4 linked regions of the Arabidopsis thaliana genome follow. The protein of the gene in region 2 interacts with the protein of the main gene of each other region in a pairwise test. Each region holds a gene or a part of one and is shown on either strand. Other genes may lie near its edges.

The links.
Region 1: the proteins of MYB2 (region 2) and AT1G76590 interact in a two-hybrid assay, tested with the Arabidopsis thaliana proteins (one large-scale study listed by BioGRID).
Region 3: the proteins of MYB2 (region 2) and CRF8 interact in a two-hybrid assay, tested with the Arabidopsis thaliana proteins (one large-scale study listed by BioGRID).
Region 4: the proteins of MYB2 (region 2) and AT4G31660 interact in a two-hybrid assay, tested with the Arabidopsis thaliana proteins (one large-scale study listed by BioGRID).

Annotation. Positions count from the first base shown.
Region 1 is NC_003070.9:28,738,867-28,742,777, forward strand, and holds AT1G76590 (PLATZ transcription factor family protein), read left to right. Parts: upstream 1-1,673; 5' UTR 1,674-2,008; coding exon 2,009-2,011; intron 2,012-2,105; coding exon 2,106-2,315; intron 2,316-2,401; coding exon 2,402-2,617; intron 2,618-2,719; coding exon 2,720-3,028; 3' UTR 3,029-3,365; downstream 3,366-3,911.
Region 2 is NC_003071.7:19,374,312-19,378,058, forward strand, and holds MYB2 (myb domain protein 2), read left to right. Parts: upstream 1-1,673; 5' UTR 1,674-1,972; coding exon 1,973-2,129; intron 2,130-2,220; coding exon 2,221-2,350; intron 2,351-2,451; coding exon 2,452-2,986; 3' UTR 2,987-3,232; downstream 3,233-3,747. Other genes in the region: AT2G47200 (uncharacterized protein), read right to left, coding at 3,573-3,747.
Region 3 is NC_003070.9:26,820,530-26,824,204, reverse strand, and holds CRF8 (Integrase-type DNA-binding superfamily protein), read right to left. Parts: upstream 1,689-3,675; 5' UTR 1,329-1,688; coding exon 843-1,328; 3' UTR 534-842; downstream 1-533. Other genes in the region: GLIP6 (GDSL-motif lipase/hydrolase 6), read left to right, coding at 1,785-2,031, 2,131-2,270, 2,345-2,810, 2,898-3,133; AT1G71110 (uncharacterized protein), read right to left, coding at 3,353-3,675.
Region 4 is NC_003075.7:15,332,031-15,336,143, reverse strand, and holds AT4G31660 (AP2/B3-like transcriptional factor family protein), read right to left. Parts: upstream 2,132-4,113; 5' UTR 2,126-2,131; coding exon 2,048-2,125; intron 1,964-2,047; coding exon 1,684-1,963; intron 1,602-1,683; coding exon 1,530-1,601; intron 1,444-1,529; coding exon 1,319-1,443; intron 1,239-1,318; coding exon 1,038-1,238; 3' UTR 838-1,037; intron 725-837; 3' UTR 514-724; downstream 1-513. Other genes in the region: UBP18 (ubiquitin-specific protease 18), read left to right, coding at 1-137; AT4G31650 (Transcriptional factor B3 family protein), read right to left, coding at 2,823-3,086, 3,171-3,500, 3,581-3,705, 3,792-4,113.

The sequences.
Region 1 (3,911 bases), on a different chromosome or scaffold from region 2:
AATACCTTTTTGGTTAATCCTACGTAAAAGTAGTATTAGCCACTACTTGCTAAACATTTTAAAGGGACATCTTAAAAAGTGAAGATGATTCTTCACAAATAAACCACAACGGTCACGTGAGTCTCGTGCTATTGACTACTATTGTTGAGGTCGGTCAACAGTGCATTGCCCCATCTTTACCTTCTTCTTCCCACATTTGTTTGGGATATTTTTCAATTTACTCACTTTATGAATACAAACAAAACAATAAAACTAATCTCTTTTGTGTGTAGTTGAAAGAGATAAGATCGCAGAAAAGAAGACGATGATTCGTCGACTTTTCTCCCAACATTTTGAACAATTAGTTGTTATGTGTAATTTTCTATAGATAGCTACTATCTGATTACGTGGATCACACTTCTCTTTTTATTATTATCTCTTTAGGTTTCTTATCCCATATAATATGATATCAGGTCTCTTTCTCGAGTAATACATTATATATCTATGTTGATTATTTACTACTTGTCATTTAAGATAAGATACTTAAAAATACTTGTTATTGGATTTTGCCGGAAGACTTAACTTTCAAACTCTATTATATGTAGAAGATAGCGGACTGAAAAATACGTCGAAGACAGATACTTCTATTGCATAATTTTTGGGTAGGGACTAGAAAACTTACTCGTAGTTTCGACATATCATCCGCAATCTCAAATTAATTGCAAACTTTTTGATCATATCTATTGAAACTATCTTTCTAGCTTCATTAATTCGTTACCAGCCCCCAATATAAGCTATCAAGTATGAATATTAAGATGGATTTAACGGTGATAATAGTAGTATGTACAGTTTCTTTTGTCAACAGCTGATAAAAAAAATGAAAGCTTCTAACAGTTTGAGCCTAAAGAGATCATATATGTGAACAGTTTCACACACACATAAGCCGTACAACTAATATAGATATCACTTTGACCGTAAAAATCTAACAGTTTAGATCACACACACACAATCTTGAAACTAGTTTAAAGCACTTTCAGCGAAAAGTACTCACTAGATGATAAGAACTCTTTGGCACGTAACAGACGCTTTCGAACCCTACGATTTCAAGAGGTGGCTTATGTACGGTCCACTCAACTTCTTCATCCGACGGTCTAAGATTGGTCATGTGGGTTGAACTACCAAAAGGGCCAAAAGCGTGAGCCACGTTACATTATAAAAGATTTTGTCTTTTTAATCCAACGGTTCACACCAGAATCTCCAATTCGGTTCTGTCTCCTCTCGTGTCGGTCCATCTCTCTGGCTCTTCACCTCTAGCCACGTGTTTCTAATTTTGACCTTTTAAAATTTTAAGAAAAAAACAAATTATTTCTTGTAGCTAAAATTTAGCATCCAAATTCCAAACTCAGAGTTCTCTTCTATGGCCGTATGATACTTCCAATAATCCGTATGTATGTGAATATCATAATCTATCACAAACATAATGAATAGTAGTAGATATTAAGACAATCAAATTTGGTAGAAAAAATATCTTCCTACGTTGGGAATTATGTAGGACCGAATAATATAGTCGGCTAATTCGATATTTTGTCGCGAACCACGACATAAAATTATTTATCATCATTTGTGAACAATAATGATTCAAAATTATCAATAACACCACCTTTTTTTTTTAAGTTCCTTTACTTCTGGGGTCTCTAGAGACCCACACATGTGCACAAAATATACGTGTGTCTCTCATAGACTTTAAAGCAAAATTAGAGAACACTTATTTTTAGCCAAAAAAAGTAATTAAAGAAAAAACTATATAAAAACAGTTTAAAAAGGGGATGATATTAAATGATTTTCATGTGAATTATAAAACGTATTGAGTATTATCGTGACCGACTTCAAAAAACAAGAAAAACCTCAACTTCTCTTTTTCAGCTATAGCCGCCGCCTCCTCCCACTAAACTCAAATCCTCTCATAGTCTTTTCAATCAAATCTGCTCTTCTTCACTGTTGAAGCTGGCTATCAAAACTCACAATAACTATGGTGATTGATTGATTCTCTTTCTTACTTAACTCTGTTTTAGTTTCTTTGCAAATTCTTATATTAACCATTTGGAACTGGTCTAAACATTCTTCAGGGACCGATGATGATGAGAGCAGAAGAAGATAACTACAATCTAAATCCTCCACCATGGCTAATCCCAATGCTAAGAGCAAACTACTTCATCCCTTGTTCAATCCACGCCGCTTCCAACAAAAGCGAGTGCAACATGTTCTGTCTTGACTGTTCTTCTGAGGCCTTTTGCTCTTACTGTTTGCTCAATCACAGAAACCATCGTGTCCTCCAGGTTCTTTCATCAACTTCAAATCATTTTTTTCTCTCTTACCAATTCACCCAACAGAGTTAAGAAAATGGGATTTTCATTACTTGCAGATACGGAGATCATCGTACCACAACGTTGTGAGAGTAAACGAGATTCAGAAGTACATAGACATATCTTGTGTTCAGACATATATAATCAACAGCGCAAGGATCGTTTTCTTGAACGAACGTCCTCAGCCAAGAATCGGCAAAGGAGTCACCAATACTTGTGAAATCTGTTGCAGAAGCCTTCTCGATTCTTTCCGTTTCTGCTCTCTCGGTTGCAAAGTAACTCTTCTTTCCTCTGTTTTCCTCTGTTTTGAATGAATATCTGAATTTGCTCTGTATAGTTGAAATGACCATATTGCCCTTTTGTTTGGTTTATTTCAGCTTGGAGGAATGAAGCGTGATCCAAGTCTAACCTTCTCTTTGAGAGGGAAGCATGGAAGAGAGTACGAAGGTGAGTGGGAATCTGATGAAGCGACTACACCAACTAAGATACGCAAGACATGTGCTTTCAACCGTCTGATGAGTGGTCTTTCCATCTCCACCGTTAAATGTGATTACTTGTCAGGAGATCAACCGTCTTCGAGCTCCGGTGATGAGAGCGGTTTTAAACTTTCTCCGGGGACACCGCCGATATATAATCACCGGAATTCAAGTAGACGGAAGGGCGTCCCACACCGTGCTCCTTTCTAAAATTAATACTAACGGAAGCTAATTATATAGTGTAGATTATAGAAAATGTGGTTGTTATGTTGTAACTAAATGGTTAGTAGTTTTTAACCTTTTGAGCTAGGAATATACATATTGTAAGACATATTACTTACAGGTATTGTTTGGTTTTTCTTTTTATAGTACATATAGAAATTAGGTATATACTGTACTCAAAGGGATTGAAATATGTTTTCATATAGTTTTTTTGCTGTAAATATACGTTTGAAGGAGGTATGTTTCTTCAACTTGTTTGTATCGTATACTGTGTACTATCTTCACAATAAAATAGCAAATATGATAACTAGGATTTTTAACTGAAGCGCTAATATTCGAAGAACTAAATTGTCAATGAGAATGATACAGACGAATAACGAGATTTAAAATAAGAAACTGTCGATCAAGACATGTATTAGTATTGTCAGAACACAAAAACATTGGTGATAAGCTGGGGCAAAAAACATTCTGGGTCTATCTATTTCAAGGAAAGGAGCTTCGACTCAAAAGAAGCTTATGTCATTAGAACTTAGAAGTCGATTGTTAACAACAGTTCAAATACTTCGTTTCCCTAAATTGGTTATCAAGTAGTTTCAACTTTAAACTCGTGCTATTAGAATTTTTTTTTTATTTTCGAACGATATAACGTGGTTCTTCGAAACAATACTTCGCTAAATCCTAATAACTTTCGGCATTTGAAATGCTCATGATGTCATGCATCTACCTTTTTTCCGTGGTTGCCTCACCTTTTAATGGTGTTTTGATGTTAAATTTTTTTATGTATAAGTTGTATTTTAGTTTTTTTTTTTTTTTTTGACTGACTTTTGGATCTAACCTATGATTTAAAGATCGGAGAGACCATTCTGATCTT
Region 2 (3,747 bases):
ACTGTATTTCACCCATGTATTATATAATGAAAATCTTTCAGTTAAAAAAAAAAAAAAAAAAAAAAAAAACTAGCTTATTTGGGTTGTCGTCTATATCACATATCTAATCGATGTAACAATTCACTGAATCGGGTGTTACAAATAACATTTGTTTTCTTCACTAAAAGTATAAGATACTGGTACAACGCGAAATCTAACCTATATTCGAATCAAATGACACGTCATCACTTGGGTGTCTATTTGTCCACAGTTGAAAGTTATAAGAAGCAGACAAGTGTCTCATAAAGACATCGAGATCTGATTCGGTTCTCAGGTACATACAGTTAATCGGGAGTGTTGCTTTCCCCTAGAACTATGGAGGCTACTATTTAAGTGTCGTTGTGTAACAAAAATCCTGTGTTTACTTGCATTACTTAAACTCCTTTACTTTAATAGTTTTATATATGTTTTCGACCTCCCTTTTTCGACGGAGTGGATCGCTATGACATGTAGGCATCTGATTGTATTTGCTAATCTGTTTTTGTTAGTATGTTAAATTTTTAACCCAATATATGTTTATAGTGCTTATATATTCTTACTTTAGTTACATATGAATATATGATCATTGATGAATTAAACAATATAATGTAATAATTAAATTTGATTTCCCTGATCGAATTATAATTTATATGTTTTGTAATACGAATCAATTAAAATATTTTCTTGTTACACATTTTGATAAAATGTCGTAGAACGTTACTTAAAAGTAATGATGCATTAACAAAATGTACAACATATATTATAAAAGTTATCATCAATATTATAGGCATTCGACTTTCAGAATGTGTATCAATAATCGAAGTAGTAATGGAACGATTATTGAAAGTATACTACGGTCTCTCTTTACTTCATCGTGGATTCTCATTAAAAACAAAAGTACTTTCTCTACCGGCAACTATTGAAAGTATATTATTGTTTTTAATAACTTTGATAGTGTTTCTTAATTATTAATCCCAACGTACGATAAAATTTTGTTTGATAAAACTCACAAAAGTTTAGTATATTTCTGTAAATATATGCATAGAAGTCATAGTGATTGACAGAGGAAAGACGTCTCTTTGACTACTCTTCAATCGAAAACAAAATGTGCTAAAATTTCAAAAGCAAAGTCCCTAAACTCGCCTAACTCCATTTCTCATTTGACTTTGCCTTAAATGTCAATAGTCCTATGTTATTTAGCTACATTCAAAATTGGGAATTAAGAATTATTTTAGACTCCATATACTTAGAAACGAATCCGTATTGGAAACTAATTTCCATTTAGTAATAGTATTTAAGTATTATTATGCTTACCGAGTAGCATGTAGTAGTTTCTTAATGTTAGCTAATTTCAAAGCAAACGACGAATATTAAATCGTGATTGCACACAACAAGAAGTGATTAATAAATCATTAATTTCGCCCATAGTAATCACTAACCAGAGTAATTTTGAACAAGACTAAGGATGTACAATAACTTACGTCTGCGATACTGTGTGGTAATAAATATAGAAACTTTATGAAATAGAACTCTCTTACCAAAGAAAGAAAAAGCAAGAGTGCGTGTTACTATACATCTGAACAAGTCAAAGGGTCAAACCTTAGTATTTTAAAATTACACAAACAATTGACCAAATGGAGAGCTAATTATGTTTAGCATAATTTACTATATAGTTGCAAAATTCCACTTTAGAAACAGAATAAAAAAATAAAAATTGAACATAACACTTATGCCGTGTTCCAGTCACTCTTCAACATTCTACTCATTTTCAAATATCCTTTTTATAAAATACTACTTTTAAAATTATTTGATTCTTATGTTCCTTCACTATATATATATAAATATCGCACATTGCTTAATCACTTCAAATCTAATCCACAAAACCATTCACACCATCTCATCTTCTTTCTCTCTATCTCTTTTCCTTTCCTCATTTAAAGTTTCTTTATAAGAAATGGAAGATTACGAGCGAATAAACTCAAACTCTCCAACACATGAAGAAGATTCTGATGTACGGAAAGGTCCATGGACCGAGGAAGAAGATGCAATCCTAGTCAACTTCGTCTCTATCCATGGCGATGCTCGTTGGAACCACATCGCTCGTTCCTCTGGTATCATCAAAACATCAATCTCTAAATATACATATACACAAAGGCTTTATATATAGATAAACTTATATATATTTTACTCATATATGTGCAGGGCTAAAGCGAACTGGTAAGAGTTGTAGATTAAGATGGCTTAATTACTTACGTCCAGATGTTAGAAGAGGCAACATCACTCTCGAAGAACAATTTATGATCCTCAAACTCCATTCTCTTTGGGGCAATAGGTACACACTATATATCTCAAATGTTAATATTTTGCTATTCTATATGTTACTAGTTAAGTATGTTATTAATATATGTCTTTTTTTTCAATTGAATATATAAGGTGGTCGAAGATTGCGCAATATCTACCGGGAAGAACAGATAATGAAATAAAGAATTATTGGAGAACTCGAGTCCAAAAGCAAGCCAAACACCTAAGATGCGATGTTAACAGTAATCTTTTCAAGGAGACTATGAGAAATGTTTGGATGCCGAGATTAGTGGAACGAATCAACGCCCAATCATTACCCACCACGTGTGAACAAGTGGAGTCAATGATCACCGACCCAAGTCAACCAGTTAACGAACCGAGTCCGGTCGAGCCGGGTTTCGTTCAATTCAGCCAGAATCATCATCAGCAATTCGTACCGGCTACGGAATTGTCAGCAACGTCTTCGAATTCTCCGGCTGAGACGTTTTCGGACGTTCGAGGTGGGGTGGTGAACGGGTCAGGTTATGATCCGTCGGGTCAAACGGGTTTCGGAGAGTTCAACGATTGGGGCTGTGTTGGTGGGGACAACATGTGGACTGACGAGGAGAGTTTTTGGTTCTTGCAGGACCAGTTCTGCCCCGATACGACATCGTATTCGTATAATTAAGGAAATATACGATTACTATACGTAACGAGGAATTCAATTGCGTCACGTTTGGTGTAATATTCATTCGTGCGTGATGCCAATTTTAGATACGGCCTTGGTATACGAATCTTGACTTAATTATTATCTTTTCTTTTCCTCTCTTGTTTTAATCCCCTGATTAAATTAAGATTTGATCATCAGACGAGGATATTTGTGATTCACTGATTTGTGATATTGATATATGTGAATTATTTGATATAACGTTTTAAAAACCAACAAAAAAAAAAAATCATTCCAAGGAAAAGTTCTTAATTTTGATACTCGAAAAGAGCGTAGACTGACTCGAATCAGTTCATATTTTCTTTGGTTCGTTTTATTTACGACAAAATTCACTAACAAAAATTAAAAAACGACAAAACGAAAATATGACTAAATTTATTTTTTTGACAGTTAACCACTGATTATTGGTTCAAATTGTCACAACACATGATTTATCTTGATAGAAATTTAGTAGTCCAGAATGCTGCATGGTTGATCCTAAGAAAAACAAATCATGCAAGGACCAAGGACTTACATTACTTAATTATACTTAAACGCTTTATAAAATTCACATCAAGTGATTCCTGACGATGATCCAGTAAAACCCTTCATCCATATCGTTGCTTCCACACGTAGTTTCGATAATAAACTCGTGATTATCGCCAAGATGCGATGTATCAACCACTGAAATTCTCTTCCTTGTCACGTTTTCGTCTCCGACGATATTTCTGTAAAGTTTCGCA
Region 3 (3,675 bases), on a different chromosome or scaffold from region 2:
GAACCAATCAAAATTTATCTTCAGATCCTTTTTTTTTTCAATTTCATAATCGTAAGTCAAAAGAAAATATCTGTTTGCTTTTTTTCTAACGCACTTGTGTTTCCTCAAACTTATTATTTTTAAACTCATGTGCACGTACATGTAAACATTCATTTCCTCTCTTTTTCTTTTTTTTCTTGTCAAAACATTCATTTCCTCTTTAGTCACTACTATTATCGAAAACATTCATTTCCTCTTTAGTCATTACTATTATAGTATTATAGAAGATCATATATATCATGTGTATGATGAAGTCTCTTGGTTTAGCTGATCTCTTCATGTTCTTTATTACTTTCTTTATCTCCAAACCCCTCACCCATGGCCATCAGTCTTCAACAAGTCAAAGTAAATTGATAAATTCAGTATTTTTCATTAGACACCCCAAAGTATAAAAATGTATCGTTGATACGGTGATACAAGAACCAAAAGATGGAAAGATATATAAAGAATTTTCAACTTTTCATCAACCATCAAAATATAACTCTGATCCAAGTCATTAACGTTCAATTTGGTTAGAGTTCTGTTCTATTATGTGTTGATCCATAAATGGTAAAAAGATTGAATAGTATACAAATAAAAAGAGCCTATTTCAACCCAAACTTTTCTTTCCTAAACGTTTTAAAAATTCAAAAAAATTTGTACCTTAAAATTTGTGTGTAAATCAAAATATAGTTCATTTCTCGAGTTTCATATATATACATAGACGAAAGACATCAAGATCATACACAACATCAGAAGATGAATTTACAAAATACGAGAGAGACCTTCTTGCTAATGCTAACAACTAAATTACCAACCCCACTTCACGCGCCTCTAGCAACCTCAGAAGCTCCAATCACCGTCTTATCCTCTTGATTCTCCGCCGGCAAACCAAAATTGGTCGGCGCGTGAGGTCCAATCAGCTTAATTGAAGCGTTATCATAAGCTAGAGCAGCTTCCTCAGCAGTGTTAAAAGTACCCAGCCAGAGACGATCACGTCGTCCTTTACAAGCTCCTCTTCCACATCTGATCTCCGCCACCCACTTCCCCCACGGCCTCTGCCTCACTCCACGATATTTCTTCTCCGTTTTCGCCGTCTTGAGAAATTCCGCCGGGATCCTGATTTTGAACCGTGTTTTGCAGACATCGAGTTTATCGGCGGAATCGGAAGGATCGATTACGATCTCTTTAACGAGGCGTTTCCCACGGCGCCGAGTCTGGGATGCTCCTCCACGCTCCTCCGTGTCTTCGTCGCTAGAAGAATCGGTGGCTTCTGCGTCGGTGAATGAGATTCTGATAATACGCTTCATAGTGAATTTGCGGAAATTAGGGTTCCGTCTTCGTCTCCATTAAAAGGAAAGCATTTGAGAGAAAGAATATGTTTTTATTCTTTCAGAATCTCTTTTTCTGATGCTTTTCATCTTTACTTATTTACTTCTCTATTTTTTTCTAACCAATCCTATGTGGGCCGTATGGGCCTCAGAGCTGAAAATGCAGTAAAATCCATGAAATTTCTCAACATGGCTTGAAGCCCATCTTCTAAAGGAAAAAACGCTTTACTCTTTTTTCCTTCATCTATGTAATAAGAAGCAGAAATTTAGGAATAAGTTTGAAACTTTAATCACACATAAGAGTAAGTGCAAAAACATGAACAATGTTCTTGCCTTCCGTGTCAATTTTGTATATATATATATATATATATATATATATATATATGTGTGTCAGTATATAATCTCCTTTTATATGATTATAAACTCATTTGTCCCATGTCTTCTTCTTCTTCAATGGACTTACTCATGTGTCTGCTTCTTCTAATCTCTCCGGTTGTTCTGGCCAAGTCTTCTTCCACCGTCCCTGCTATCTTTACCTTCGGTGACTCTATTTTTGACGCCGGAAACAACCATTACAACAAAAACTGTACCGCTCAGGCTGATTTTCCTCCTTATGGTTCTTCCTTTTTCCACCGTCCTACTGGGAGGTTCACCAACGGAAGAACCGTCGCTGACTTCATCTGTAACAAATTACCTCCCAACTCGTTAACTAAAACATTTCTTCTTCTGCAAGGAACCTTACTTTTGTCTCTTTTTTCTTTTCTTGACGCAATAATTGCAGCGGAATTTGTAGGCCTTCCATTACAGAAACCATTCTTGGAATTGCAGATTCAAATCTTGAATGGAACTTCAAACTTTTCAAATGGCATTAACTTTGCTAGTGCTGGTAGTGGTCTCTTGCTTGATACCAACAAATTTATGGTAAATATCTACCTTGACCAAATAAAATGTTTGTTTCTTGTGAATCACTCATTAAGTACACATATCAAATGTAGGGCGTGACACCGATCCAAACCCAGCTACAGCAATTCCAGACACTTGTAGAGCAAAACCTTATCGAAAAATCTATAATCCAAGAGTCTCTCTTCTTATTAGAAACTGGTTCTAACGACATCTTCAACTACTTCCTCCCATTCCGAGCTCCTACACTTTCTCCAGACGCTTATGTGAACGCAATGTTAGACCAAGTGAACAAAACGATTGATCAGATCTACAAACTAGGCGCACGCCGCATCGCTTTCTTCTCCTTAGGTCCTGTAGGTTGTGTCCCTGCAAGAGCCATGCTTCCTAATGCCCCAACCAATAAATGCTTTGGTAAGATGAATGTTATGGCCAAGATGTATAATAAAAGACTTGAAGATATAGTGAACATAATCCCCACTAAGTACCCTGGAGCCATTGCGGTGTTTGGAGCTGTATATGGTATCACTCACAGATTTCAAACCTACCCTGCCCGTTACGGTAAACTCAATATAGTTAATTAACTTCCATCTTTGAGATCTTTTTCAAATGTGTCTATGAGAAAGCTGAATCATGTTTTTGGTGAAGGGTTTTCGGATGTTTCAAACGCGTGTTGTGGGAACGGTACACTGGGAGGATTGATGCAGTGTGGAAGAGAAGGATACAAGATTTGCAATAACCCAAATGAGTTTCTGTTTTGGGATTTTTATCATCCCACAGAACACACTTACCGTCTCATGTCAAAAGCTTTATGGAATGGAAACAAAAACCATATCAGACCATTTAATCTCATGGCTCTTGCCACCAACAAGATCACATTTTAATACTTATATCTCCCTTGTATATAGAATTCATAATGAGTTTGTATCTGAATTAAGACTCGAAATCATTGTGAAAACAAAAGCCAGAAAGTGAAACTTCGCTCCACTTCTGGTCTCTTCTTCCTCTTCTACTGTAACATGAACGCTACAAAATGTTTTTATTGTTCTCTTTCATATCATTATGAAATACAATATCTGATTCTATCTAACTATACCTCTATACTATACGCATTCTACAGAAAGCTTAGGTTCGTCATCTGAGTGATGAGTATCCAAGCCGTTACCAAAGCTATCATCTTTTCTTTGAGGGTGTGGATCCGCAAACACTTCCTCCCTTTGGGGGCGGTTCGCATAGAATATCCATAGCACCAGACATAGTAAGACTCCTACGGAGATCAGTCCGAGTCCTGCGTTCACAATCCTCAGATTACGTACTAACGGTGGACAGTAATCTGAGGTAATACTCATAAATGTTTCCCTAACAAAGTTGCAATCTCGGAAGCTAAGCAATGGAGGCGTGTAATGCTCTAGAGCGTAGCTCTCAT
Region 4 (4,113 bases), on a different chromosome or scaffold from region 2:
ATGGGAACAAAGATCCAGAGGTAAAATATCAGGCTGCCGATTCTTGGTCAGACCCTACAACTTCAACTCCATTGGTCTGTACAAAATCCAAACCTCCGGTGAGAGATATGGACACCAAGATGATCGACGCTCAGTGATGTGGTATGTTACAACATTTGAAAATCAGCAGAGCTTTTTAGCTTACAAAGTTACAATAGTGATGTAGATACTATTACACAATGACTTCTATGGTAATAAAGGGTGATTATACGTAGAATTTAAATGTTCGTGAATTGCCATATTGTTTGCCATTCATGTGACAGACTCATTTAGACCCATAAGTAGGTAAATATTTTGTTGACTTAAATAGACGCATTGACTCTTACCTAAAAAGTTCATAACTACATTAGATTCATACCACATAGGTGATGAATTCAATATAAAAGATTATACTTGTGAACAAGTTGGATGCAAATTAGAGTCAATTCTTGGCCTTGGAGCAGAACTTGAGCATAGGAAGAGTTGTTTTGTCTTCTCAAACCAACTCCAACACAAAAGATTTGCATGCCTCGATGCCATTAGCCTTGAAAAACTCTTTCAACCCTGAACCGAATCGCGTCTGTGTATTTCCCTTGTACATGACTAAATTCACTGGCCACTCTACTCCATGCTTGTCCAACAGAGTTATCTTCTTCATTCCTAGGTTTTCCATTCGGTTACCCTTAATGAATTTGATTGGAACACGCTGCAAACAAAGGAGAATATAAGCTTACACTAACTAAGTGAACTTTCATAAAGCATTGATGATAACCAAAACCAAGGGAACAAAACTCCTCCTAGAGAGTTGTTTTAACTTACAAGTCTACCATCTTTGAGAGCGGCTGGTGTGACGGTTAGTGTCAAAAATCGGTATTCACTTACTGAAGATGACGATGATGGAACTTTTTGGCTACTGTCACCAGATTCCTTTCTCTTTATTTTGTTGAAATCTTTAGTGGAAACACTCTTTAATTCTGCAGTGGAGAAACGAAGAAGAGGCGTTTTGGTGTTATTCCTCTCTAGTTTAAACGTGACGGAATCTCCAGGTTTAAGCCCATGCTCATGGAGAAACTTGTCCAGCCACCCCTCATGTAAAACGTTCTACTTGAATTCCTAAACTTCAGAATAAGCGTCCATGTCCTTGCTTCTTCATTCATCAGAACAATCTTGTTACTTCCTTTAATCAGACCATCGGACCTATCAAACTTCCTTGGAAGAAACTGCAAAGTAAAAAATTTAAACATGAGTAACAACTTCCATATCTCTCCAAAGGAATCAACAATAGATCTGAAGTACCAACCAGTGTATCCTCTCGTAAGTTAGAATCTGTTACATGTGCAACGAAACAGGACTTGTCTGATGAAAAAGACTTGGCTTCTGCTTCAGGAATCCTCTTCTTCACATGTTTTTTTCTTGGAAACTTTCCTATTTTTATAAAAGTTGGAAAAGTTAGACCATGTAGATGGTGTTAAAACGCCAACAAATCAAGAGTTATTTGTACATTGACTTACCCATGTTAACTTTGTCTTCGTCGAGTGAAGACTCTAGTTCTGTTTTTATGCTCTGCTTCATCGACAAGTTACCTGCATCACAAGAAGAAAAAAGTTAGAATCTTCAAAACAAAATGTGAATTTCCTGGGAAGGTAAAAACAGAAGACAACTTACTAATGTTCTCCTGATTATTGCAAGACGGTACATATTGAATCTCACAGCAACTGGGTCCCAATGCAGTGACATGAAATACCAAAGATCCTTCGTGTCTGAAAACGATAATATCCCCAACTCGGAAATCATGCGCGCTGGCGAACTCTTTCCAGCCCACTGTTAGTCTCCGACCTTGGATCTTAACTTGCCAAGTTTTTTCAGACGCGTCGGTTCTTAGCTCCACTGTCCTTCCTTCGTTTCTTCCTTGTATGCGTTTTGAGAAAAACTTCACAGGAATGTTCTGCAACAACATGCAAAAGAGATTATTAAAACGAAACCATCTCTCTCAACATAAGCTGTATTTACTCGTATAAGAGAGTAGTACAAGGTAAGAGTCGAAGCCGGGAAGAAGTGGCTGGAAGAAATGTGAGTTTTTCGGAGATTGAAGAACTGGATCCGCCATTGTTCAAAAGATTTAGATAAAGCGTTTCCAAGAAAAGAAAGCCCTAGAAAACAAAACAAAAAAATGATTCAGTCTAAGTTTATGAGTGTCTTTTACTCTTTTGGTAATCCTCGCATGGTTCCTCTTATTAATGAGAGCTCCAGCTACCTGTTTCATTAATGAACACTCCTTTTATTCTCTTTTCATTAAATGAGTCACTACTTTTTGTTCTTTTGGTGAAGGAAAATTCATTACCAAAAAAAGATTGGTGCTAACATCTCGTTTACTGATTTGGTGGCATTGCTCCTTTTTCTTTATTTTCTATTTGGAGATATAATCTAGTTTTGTGGCTTTTGCATTAGCTGAGGCAGAGTATAGTTATCTATATAGTGTAAGTTAGTTTTAAGAGAAATGTAAACATCATAACAGGTTTGTGCATCAGAATAATCAAGAACCAACCGAAATGGCCAGTTAGAGTAATTAGCGTTTTGATCAATTGTTATGCAGAAAGCTTCTAAGCTCTAACTTACGCAGATGATATTACAGAATAGTGATAATAGATAGAACTTATATATTGTTATTACTTGTTTTCAAGACCCTTATTAGAGTAAATGTTGTTGACATAAATAGAAAGACTACACTGGATTCATACTGCATAGGTTGTGAGCTCACTAAAACAGACCATTCTTACTTATAATAACTTGGGTGCAAATTAGAGTCAAGTCTTGATCTTGGAGCAGAATTTGAACATAGGAAGAGTTGTTGTCTCTTCCCAAACCAACTCCAACACCACAGATTCATATGCCTTAACGCCAATAGCATTGCAGAATTCTCTCAACCCTGAACCCAAAACCATCCTTGTATATCTTTTATCCATCAGTAAGGTCACTGGCCACTCTTCTCCATTCTTGTCCAATAGAGTTATCTTCTTCCCTCCTGCCCTTTCCATCTTGTTAACACTAATAAACTTCTTCGAAAGATACTGCAAAGAAAGGGAGACAATTAGCTTATATACTCTGTGCACTTCACAAAGCATCAATACCAAAAACAAGGGAACAAAACTTACAAGTCTGGAACTGCGGATACTGGATGGTGTGACAGTTAGTGTCAGAAATCGGGTCCTATCTTTTGTGGAAGCACTCTTTGATTCTGCAATGGAGAAAAGGAGTAGAGGCGTTTTTGTGTTGCTACTCTCCAGTTTAAACGTGACAGAATCTCCAGGTTTAAGCCCATTCTCACGGCAGAAACTTCTCCAGCCACCCCTACTGTAAAACGATCTACGTGAATCCCTAAACTTCAGAATAAGCGTCCATGTCCTTGCTCCTTCATTCATTAGAACAATCTTGTTACTTCCTTTAATCAGACCATCGGACCTAACAAAATTCCTTGGAAGAGACTGCAAAGTAAAATTTTAAACATGAGTAATCAACCTTCACGGCTCTCAAAAGGAATCAACAGTAGATCTGAAGTACCAACCAGTGTATCCTCTCGTAGGTTCCAATCTGTTACATATGCAACGAAACAAGACTTGTATAATGAAAAAGACTTTGCTTCTGTTTCAGGAATCCTCTTGTTCACATGTTTCTTTCTCAGAAGCTTTCCTGTTTTCACAAAAGTTGGACAAGTTAGCTAGACCTTGTAGATGTTCTTGAAAATCAACAAGACTCATTTATACATTGCCTTTTACCCATGTTATCAACGCTCTGGTTCACCTTAGCCACATGATCAAAGATAAAGCAAGATTGCGTTTGCTGCAACTTTCCTTGATCACCAGTAGACTTGTTAGATGTGCGATTGCGACGAGAAGGTTCTCCTTCTTCAGCTATCTTCTCCCTCACGTCATGCTTCGATCTACTCTCTTGGCTCCATCTTTGGACTCGAGCTCTCTTGAGTGGCCGAGCCTCTGCTCCAGCCTTTGGGAGCTTGCTGCAGAGCCGAAACACGGGCATTTTGGCGTTGTGAAGCAGTTTAAATGTACAAGAATCTCCAACTTCTAATTTACTTTCAGT